Linked DNA regions of Cricetulus griseus. The protein of the gene in region 1 purifies or fractionates together with the protein of each later gene. This does not show direct contact. Links are inferred from orthologs where the notes say so. Each region holds a gene or a part of one and is shown on either strand. Other genes may lie near its edges.

Region 1 (3,511 bases):
GGAGCTGGGTGTGCCTGTGGTCAGCGGACTGGGTGCCTGGCACTGTAGCTGACTCATCCTCTCCCAGGGACCAGCCCAGGCCTGGCAGCAAAGAGGCAGAACCAGCAGGGTGTCCTCAGCCACAGTGCTTGGGCCCAGGCTGAGCCTGGCAGGGTCATCTGAGCCTTGTCTTCTCTCCATGGCTCAGAAAGGCCCTATCATCTGACTCTGTATGGCTTCTCATGACTCAGGCCAGCTGGAAGCCAGTAGAAACTGGCTCTGAAGCAGCTCTGCTTCTTGGGTCCTAGTCCCCAGACAGCCCACCCTAGGCCCTCCTGTGCTCCACTGAGCTCTGTGGCTGTTTCTCACAGGTTGTGTCCCTACTAGATGTCCCCATAATTTCACCCCTGCTCCCATCCTGCCCCCATCCCCAGCCTGCAAGGGGAAGGGCGCTTGCCCTAATTCACATGCGGGCACCTTAGCTGCTACTGCCTACACGTCCAAAGTTCTTGGCCATTGACCCCAAGTTCTAATACCAAAGACTGGCAGGTATCCACTGAATGAAGAAAAATAAAGGAGGAGGCTTGAGTGCTCCCAGGTGTGGAGGAGGAGATTTATTGTAGATATGAGGGAGAGCACAGCAGGAGGCAGGTCTCCAGGAGTCCAGAGTGGACATGACTGGGCCTTGTGAGGAGAGTGGGGAAGGGAAAGCTAGGAGACCAATCAGCCAGAAGGGTAAACGGTAAAAAAGGTAAAAGGAGCAGCTCAGCCAAAATGGCTGGATTATATAGGGGGAAGGCAGGTAGAGGACAGGGATGCCAGCCAGGTAGGGACCAAGGGAGGCTGGGAGAGCCCAGCAGCCAGGTCAGCTTTGATATGGTAAATAGGCTCCTCAGCCATTTGTCTGGGGTTTGAGACCTAACATCCACCTTGCTTACTTGGCTCCCAGAGCAAGACCAGACTTCTAGGCAGACTGCCAGGACCTGTCTGGGACCACAGGTGGTTCTTGTGAGTTCAGCATACCCTCAGCCTATCAGAAGCTGTCCAGGTCCTGGGTCTGCCTGCCACCTGGGGGCAGCGGTGGGACAGCTCCCCCAACCCTCCTGTCTGCCCCCTCTCCCTTCCTCATGGTATGGACACTGATCTTGGAGCCAAGACCTAGGCGGGACTGTAAATAGCAGAAAGAGCACTCAGTCCCTGGGAAGCTCACAGGGGATAGAGCAGCCTGGTGGGTGCACAGCCATGTCAGCTGGCACTAAGGGCCAGGGGGAAACGGGAAAGAGCCAGAGACCTTGTGGAGGGGAACAGGGCAGCCATGGAGACATTTGGAAGATGTAGGTTGTGGGCAGGGCAAAGAGCTGATGAGCACATGTCTGGTGTATTGGGGAAACAGTGAAGAAGCCTGTGTGCCTGGGGCTCAGGACATAGAGGAACTGTGGAGACCACAACTGAGTGGGGCCAGGGAGGTGTGAGCCTGGTGGTTCAGGATGTATATGCCACACGGCTCCTAGGCCTTGACTTTAGGCTGTGGGCTTTCTCCCCTGCACCCCGTCCTCTGCCCTAGAGGATCAGAGTGCATGGTTTGGGGGTTAATGACGCTGGCAGCCTGCAAGGGAGGAAGTGCCGAGCCAAGTGGCCTGTAATTTGCAGCTCTCGGGGGTTGATTATAGGCTGTGTTTACCTCCCTCACCCCAGTCCACAGGGCAGAACTTGCTGCCAGACTGGGAGCCAAGGAAACTCAAGAGGCACTTGGGGAGCCCCCAGAGTGGTGATGGGCAAGAGAGGAGTTCTTGGGGCACTTTAGGGTCCCCTGTCACTCCTCCTCATCATCACCACACCAGTACTTTACTGTCTCTGTCTTGTTTTCGTGTTGTATTGTCTTGTTTCTGTGTCCCCTCCTTCCTGGCCTTATCCTGCCATTGCCTGGACCCCAGACCATCGTGCGGGGCAGCAAAGGTGTCAAGGATGGGGCCCTCACGCTGCTGCTGGACGAGTTTGAGAACATGTCGGTCACGCGCTCCAACTCCCTGCGCAGAGACAGCCCTCCACCACCTGCCCGTGCCCACCAGGAGAACGGAATGCTGGAGGAGCGGGCAGCCCTGGCCAGAACGGCCCCTGACAAGACTGGAGGCAAAGGCCGGGCCACAGGCCACAGCGAGGCAGGCGGTGGTGACAGACGGCGGGTGGGGCCCGAGAAGAGGCCCAAGGCTTCCAGGGAGGGCCCTGGAGGGCCCCAGGAGGCCTCCCGAGATAAGCGCCCCCTCTCTGGGCCTGATGTTAGCACTCCCCAGCCTGCCAATCTGGCCAGTGGGGCAAAACTAGCAGCTGGCAGACCCTTTAACACATACCCACGGGCTGACTCGGACCACCCACCCCGAGGTGCCCAGGTAACCCATCCCCCACTTCAGCACCTCAGTGTCCCCTTCCCTTGCTTCCCTTTCCCCAGCCACACCCCATCTCACCCTGACTTCCCTTGTATGTCATCCGGCTGGGGAGAGTCAAAGCACCCTCCACGCTCATGATGCCTTTCTTCTGTTGCAGGGGGAGCCACACAGTGTGGCCCCTAATGGGCCATCAGCCACGGGCCTGGCTGCCCCTCAGTCTTCATCTTCCTCCCGGCCTCCCACCCGAGCCCATGGTGCTCCCAGCCCAGGAGTGCTGGGCCCCCACGCCTCTGAGCCCCAGCTGGCCCCCCCAGCACGTGCTCTTGTGGCACCCCCTGTCCCTGGGCCCCCTGGGCCTCGCTCACCACAGCGGGAGCCCCAGAGAGTGTCCCACGAGCAGTTCCGGGCTGCTCTGCAGCTGGTAGTAGACCCAGGGGACCCCCGTTCCTATCTAGATAACTTCATCAAGATTGGCGAGGGCTCTACTGGTATCGTGTGCATAGCCACTGTGCGCAGCTCAGGCAAACTGGTGGCCGTCAAGAAGATGGACCTGCGCAAACAGCAAAGACGGGAGCTGCTCTTCAACGAGGTAGGTACAGGCCAGGAAGCTCAGCACGGTCCTCTCCTCACAGCTGTCCCCAGCCTAAGGCTCCTGCCTGGCCTGTCCTACCAAGCGCCCATGACCCAGGCTGACATTTTCCAACTAGTTCTGGGCCTGTGTGCTCCCCTCCAGACCTCTTCTTCTCTCAGGGTCCCTGTCTCTGGGAAACTGTCGTGCCTTACTCTGGAGCACAGCCAGTGCCCATTCCCCCAGTCCCACTGCTGTGTGTCCTCTGTGGCCCTGGGGCTCTGCTCCAGCCTCTCTCAGGCCCCCGGACTCTGTACGTATTCAAGGGAAGGGCCTTTGGCACTGAAGTCTTTCCGTGTCTCTCAGTGTCTGTCTCCACAGCCTAAGGACTTGTGTGGCACTGAAGTCTTTACGTGTCTCTCAGTGTCTGTCTCCACAGCCTAAGGCAGCGTCCAGGGGTCCAGCCTGCCACTGTTGTTCTTTCACTCTGTGGCTCTTTTACTCCTTGTTATTTTGGGGGGGCCCCCTACCAGCTCCCAAATAAAATCCACTTATCACTTAAGAATGCCCGGCCTTAGCT
Region 2 (4,045 bases), on another chromosome or scaffold:
TGATGTCCATTGCAAGAGAAGCAATTCCGATTGAGGGTTATTTGTTTCTAGCTAATTAATGTCAATTTGTCCTTACTCGACCTCTGGTGCACCTTGAACTCCAAACTAGGCATGCCACTTTCTTTTCCGCTTTAGTCAGGATTTCCCTATATAGCCTGGATTGGCTTCAAGTTGCTGATCTTATTCCAACTTGCTTCAACCTCAGCCACTATAGTGCTGGTATGGAGGGGTGGGATATAACCACGCATGCCCAGGAAAACCAGACACAGACACAGACACAGACACACACACACACCACACATCCGTCTGTCCTTCCTTCCTTCCTTCCTTCCTTCCTTCCTTCCTTCCTTCCTTCCTTCCTTCCTTCCTTCCTTCCTTCCGATGGAGGTCTCACAATGCAGCCCTGGCTGACCTGAAATTCGCTTTGTAGAGCAGGCTGGTCCCAATCTCAGAGATCCTCCTGACTCCTTAATGCTGAGATTAAAGGTATGCACCACCACACACACAAAAAAAACCAGAGACTTTTGTTTCTTTTTTGATTTTTAGAAGCAAGGTTTCTCTGTGTAACCTTGGCTGTCCTGGAACTGTGCAGACCAGGCTGGCTTCGAGAACTCATAGAGATCTGCCTTCCAATGCCTCCGGAGTGGTGGGGTTGAAGGAGTGTGGCACCAACACCACGTTAAAACCAGGGCCTTTAAACAAAAGTCCTATCTGTGATGGGCCAAAGCGATAAAATACGGCTGAAGGGAAGAAAAACATGATTACGGTGTGTGAACAAGAAAAAAGTTGGCGCGTAAAAACTGGAGCCCTCCCTTGTTCACCTGTCAGTTCTTTACACAGAGGTTAAAAGGCTCTGAAAAAGGCACATGAATGAGAAAAACGTGCAGGAATGCACAGTGAGTGGGTCTCAGTGAGGAAGGCCTGCAGTTGCAAGAACCCATCAAGCCTCTCGCTCGCTCGGTCTTTCCGCAGGCAGGCCTGTCCTCGGCCGGCGGCCACCGAACAGGATCCTGGCTCATTCCTTTAGCCCAGTCTCGGCCTCCAGCCTCTCCCGCTCGCCTGGGCCGTTCTTCTTCGCAGTCGCAGTTCCCGCCTTACTGCTGAGCCGACGGAGGAGGGGCGTCAGTCGTGCTGGTTCCAGCCTTTTCTGGCGCCGAACTCCCGGACCCGCCCCCCCGCGCCAGTTGCCAGGGAGCGGTTGCCATAGAGCTGAGCAGTTGTCCGCGTGCGCAGGCGGAAGTCCCGGATTGAAGCGCCGCCATTTTTACTGCTCGGACGCGGAGCGAGAAGCCGAGAGTCGGAGACGCTATCCGCTTCCATCCGTCGCGCAGACCCTGCCGGAGCCGCTGCCGCTATGGATGATCGGGAGGATCTGGTGTACCAGGCGAAGCTGGCAGAGCAGGCCGAGCGATACGACGGTGAGTTGGAGGGGTGTCGGGGGGCTGGAAGTCTCGGACCCTCCGCCGCCGCCCACAGAGGCCGGGAACCGGAGACAAAATGGCGGCATCGTCCCCGAGTCTGGCTCGGGACGCGGGTCGGGAAGCGGGAAATGTCCTGCGGGCTCCCGAAGCGGTGGGAGTCTCCGGGCCCAGGAATTTGACCCCTCCGGTGTCCTTAGCTTGCAGACGCTCGCCCGCCAGCAGGCCGGGGAGTAGGGTGGAGGAGTTGGTTGTAAAATGGCGGCTGAAGGGGGAGGGCGAGTCCCCGGGCGGGGGAGGGGGGAGGAGGTGGCGGGTGCCGTCTCCCGGCGCGCAATCCCCACGGGAGCTTTCGGGACCGTGGCGGGATGCGGAGGACAATCGGGTGGGGTGATGTGCGAAGCAGCAGCGGTCGCTCGGGGGAGGGCGGAATCTTAGGGAGCTGGAGCGCGGGCGCCTTTTCAGGGAAATATGGCGGGTGGGGGCGGTGGCTTTTCCCGGGAGGCCCAGTGTGGGGCGGCGGCTGTGGAGCCTCACAAAGGAGAAGCCTCAGGAGCGGACGGCTTCTCTGGGCCGCTGGTGGGGAGTCGTCTTTGGAGAGGGTGGAGTGTGTGGAAATCACTGCAGATTGATCATCCTTGGGTGGAGGCAAGCTGAGATGCTGCGATTGGATTCCTTCCCGCAGGCCGGCGCACCTCGGAGTTGAGGGTTTTGGGGGGCTTCTCTGCCTCGCCTCCTCCCATGGATGTGTGGAGCCTCACTCGTGCTCCGTTTGTTCTCACCCAGGGGATCCCAAAGTTCCTGTGGGTTTTTCTTTTTTCTTTTCCCAACCTTCAGAAGCCCGAGTTCTGATGGATAGAATTCTTAAATACAGGAGACCAGGCTTGCCAGGACCCTGTAATAATGATGGCTTTTTACAGTACCCGTGTCTCAAGTCTACCCGTTTGTAAAAATGACTTTTCTCTTCGCACTCAGCATTATGACACATGGAAAGACCTGTTGAAAAATAGTTAATTTAAATAATGTTTAGTAACACTCCCTTGGTTGACGACGTAAGTTTGGAAAATTCGTGTTGCTTGGCTTGGGGATCTTTACCTATTTTGAGGACTCGGTTGAGGCTTGGGGATTTTGAAATACAATTCTTTTTTTTTCCCCCTGTTTTATGACTTCATTGTTGCGTGGCTGGGGTTCCAACCCAGGGTTGCATGCATGCAAAGCAAGTGCTCATATACTAAGATACACTCTACCTCTGTTTTATCTATTTTAAGCAAATGGTTTTATGTACATATTTTAATAGTTATTTTGTTCACTCGACACCCACTACTTCCTCACCCCCGTGATGTAACCCAAGCCCTTGTACAGTGCTCTCTGTCACTAAGCTCTATCCTTAGCTCGTGCTAATTTGAATTTAGTCTTATCACCATTTCATTGAAATATCTTTTGTGTTTAGTCAGTTGTAGGCAATTTATGTTTTTTTTTGTGCCTTCCCTTTCTCTGATTTTGTACCTAGATACTTCAGTTAAGCAATATCTATCAAAGTAGTATTTTAAAAGTGATAAATCACATATATGTTTACCATGATTTATTTATGTTTGTTTAGGAATAGGGTCTCACTCTGTCGCTCTGGCTTTCTTGAAACCTTAGTATGTAGACCAGGCTGGCCTCTAACTCACAGAGATCCACCTATCAGTCTCCTGAGTGCTTTGATTAAAGGCATGTGCACTAAGGCAGATAGGTCCTTGTGATTTTAGTGTTGGGGGCTAGGATGGGATGCATGTTTGGAATTAAGTGTTATTGCCCCTAATTTTTTCCAAATTACTTAAGCCACTTGTTTTTCAAAAGTTAGGTCAGACCCTTTTCCTTGAATTCCAGTTTGGCTCTGTTGCAGCTTTTCTAGAACTAGTCCTAGAGTCTTGTCAGAAATTACTGTTCCAGCCTTTGGAATTTAGAACAGAAGGCTTCAAAACCCCCAGTTTAGGAAAGATACTAAACTGAATTTTGCCTTTCAGGTTTGAGTTGCTGTTGGCTTCTGTTGGGAGTGGGAGGAGGTGGGATGGGGAAAGTATGAATGTAGCTCAAGGTCAGCCTTCATTTTAGTGTTTGTAGCCAGGAGAGTTTGGTTGTAATGGAGGGTTCTCTCTCTGCCTCCCTGAAAGAAGTGTCCCCTGAATCTAGTGTCCTTGGGAGGAAACATGAAATTACATTTGAAGACTGGGGATTTAGGCTTAGTGTGAATGTGACCCCTCCTCCCAATAGAAAGGTATTAGGGAATCTTTTTGCTTTGTTTCTGAGTCATTTTTAGGAAGGATTTGGAAACTTGCATGATTGTAGCTTCCAAATAAATGGCAAGTTAACTTTAAATCATGCTTGTGATTTGAGTGCTGAGGGTTTCTGACTAAAGTCTGGCCTTGTTAGTTATTGAACATAGGAGTGTAGACAAGCCACTTGGTGACTGTCCCTTTGAGACTCTTAAAGAAAGAAGGGAATGCAATAGGAAGCACTGCAGTGATTTGGCATGAGGAGGGATCTAGAGCGGGAGAGGCAGGAAGGCAGTCAGGAAACCCACCACTACTTGACTGACTGCAGTGATTCAGCTTTGTTTGTGTAATAGAAATGGCTCTATAGAA

What was found.
Region 2: the proteins of Pak4 (region 1) and 14-3-3 protein epsilon purify together in Homo sapiens (affinity purification with mass spectrometry; 4 studies listed by BioGRID and IntAct, with this or other methods). This does not show direct contact. The link is inferred for Cricetulus griseus from reciprocal best matches to the Homo sapiens genes PAK4 and YWHAE.

Annotation. Positions count from the first base shown.
Region 1 is NC_048602.1:7,276,955-7,280,465, forward strand, and holds part of Pak4 (serine/threonine-protein kinase PAK 4), read left to right. Parts: intron 1-1,913; coding exon 1,914-2,366; intron 2,367-2,520; coding exon 2,521-2,952; intron 2,953-3,511. UniProt on the Homo sapiens protein: Serine/threonine-protein kinase that plays a role in a variety of different signaling pathways including cytoskeleton regulation, cell adhesion turnover, cell migration, growth, proliferation or cell survival.
Region 2 is NC_048600.1:89,184,188-89,188,232, forward strand, and holds the start of 14-3-3 protein epsilon, read left to right. Parts: upstream 1-1,240; 5' UTR 1,241-1,354; coding exon 1,355-1,418; intron 1,419-4,045. UniProt on the Homo sapiens protein: Adapter protein implicated in the regulation of a large spectrum of both general and specialized signaling pathways. Binds to a large number of partners, usually by recognition of a phosphoserine or phosphothreonine motif.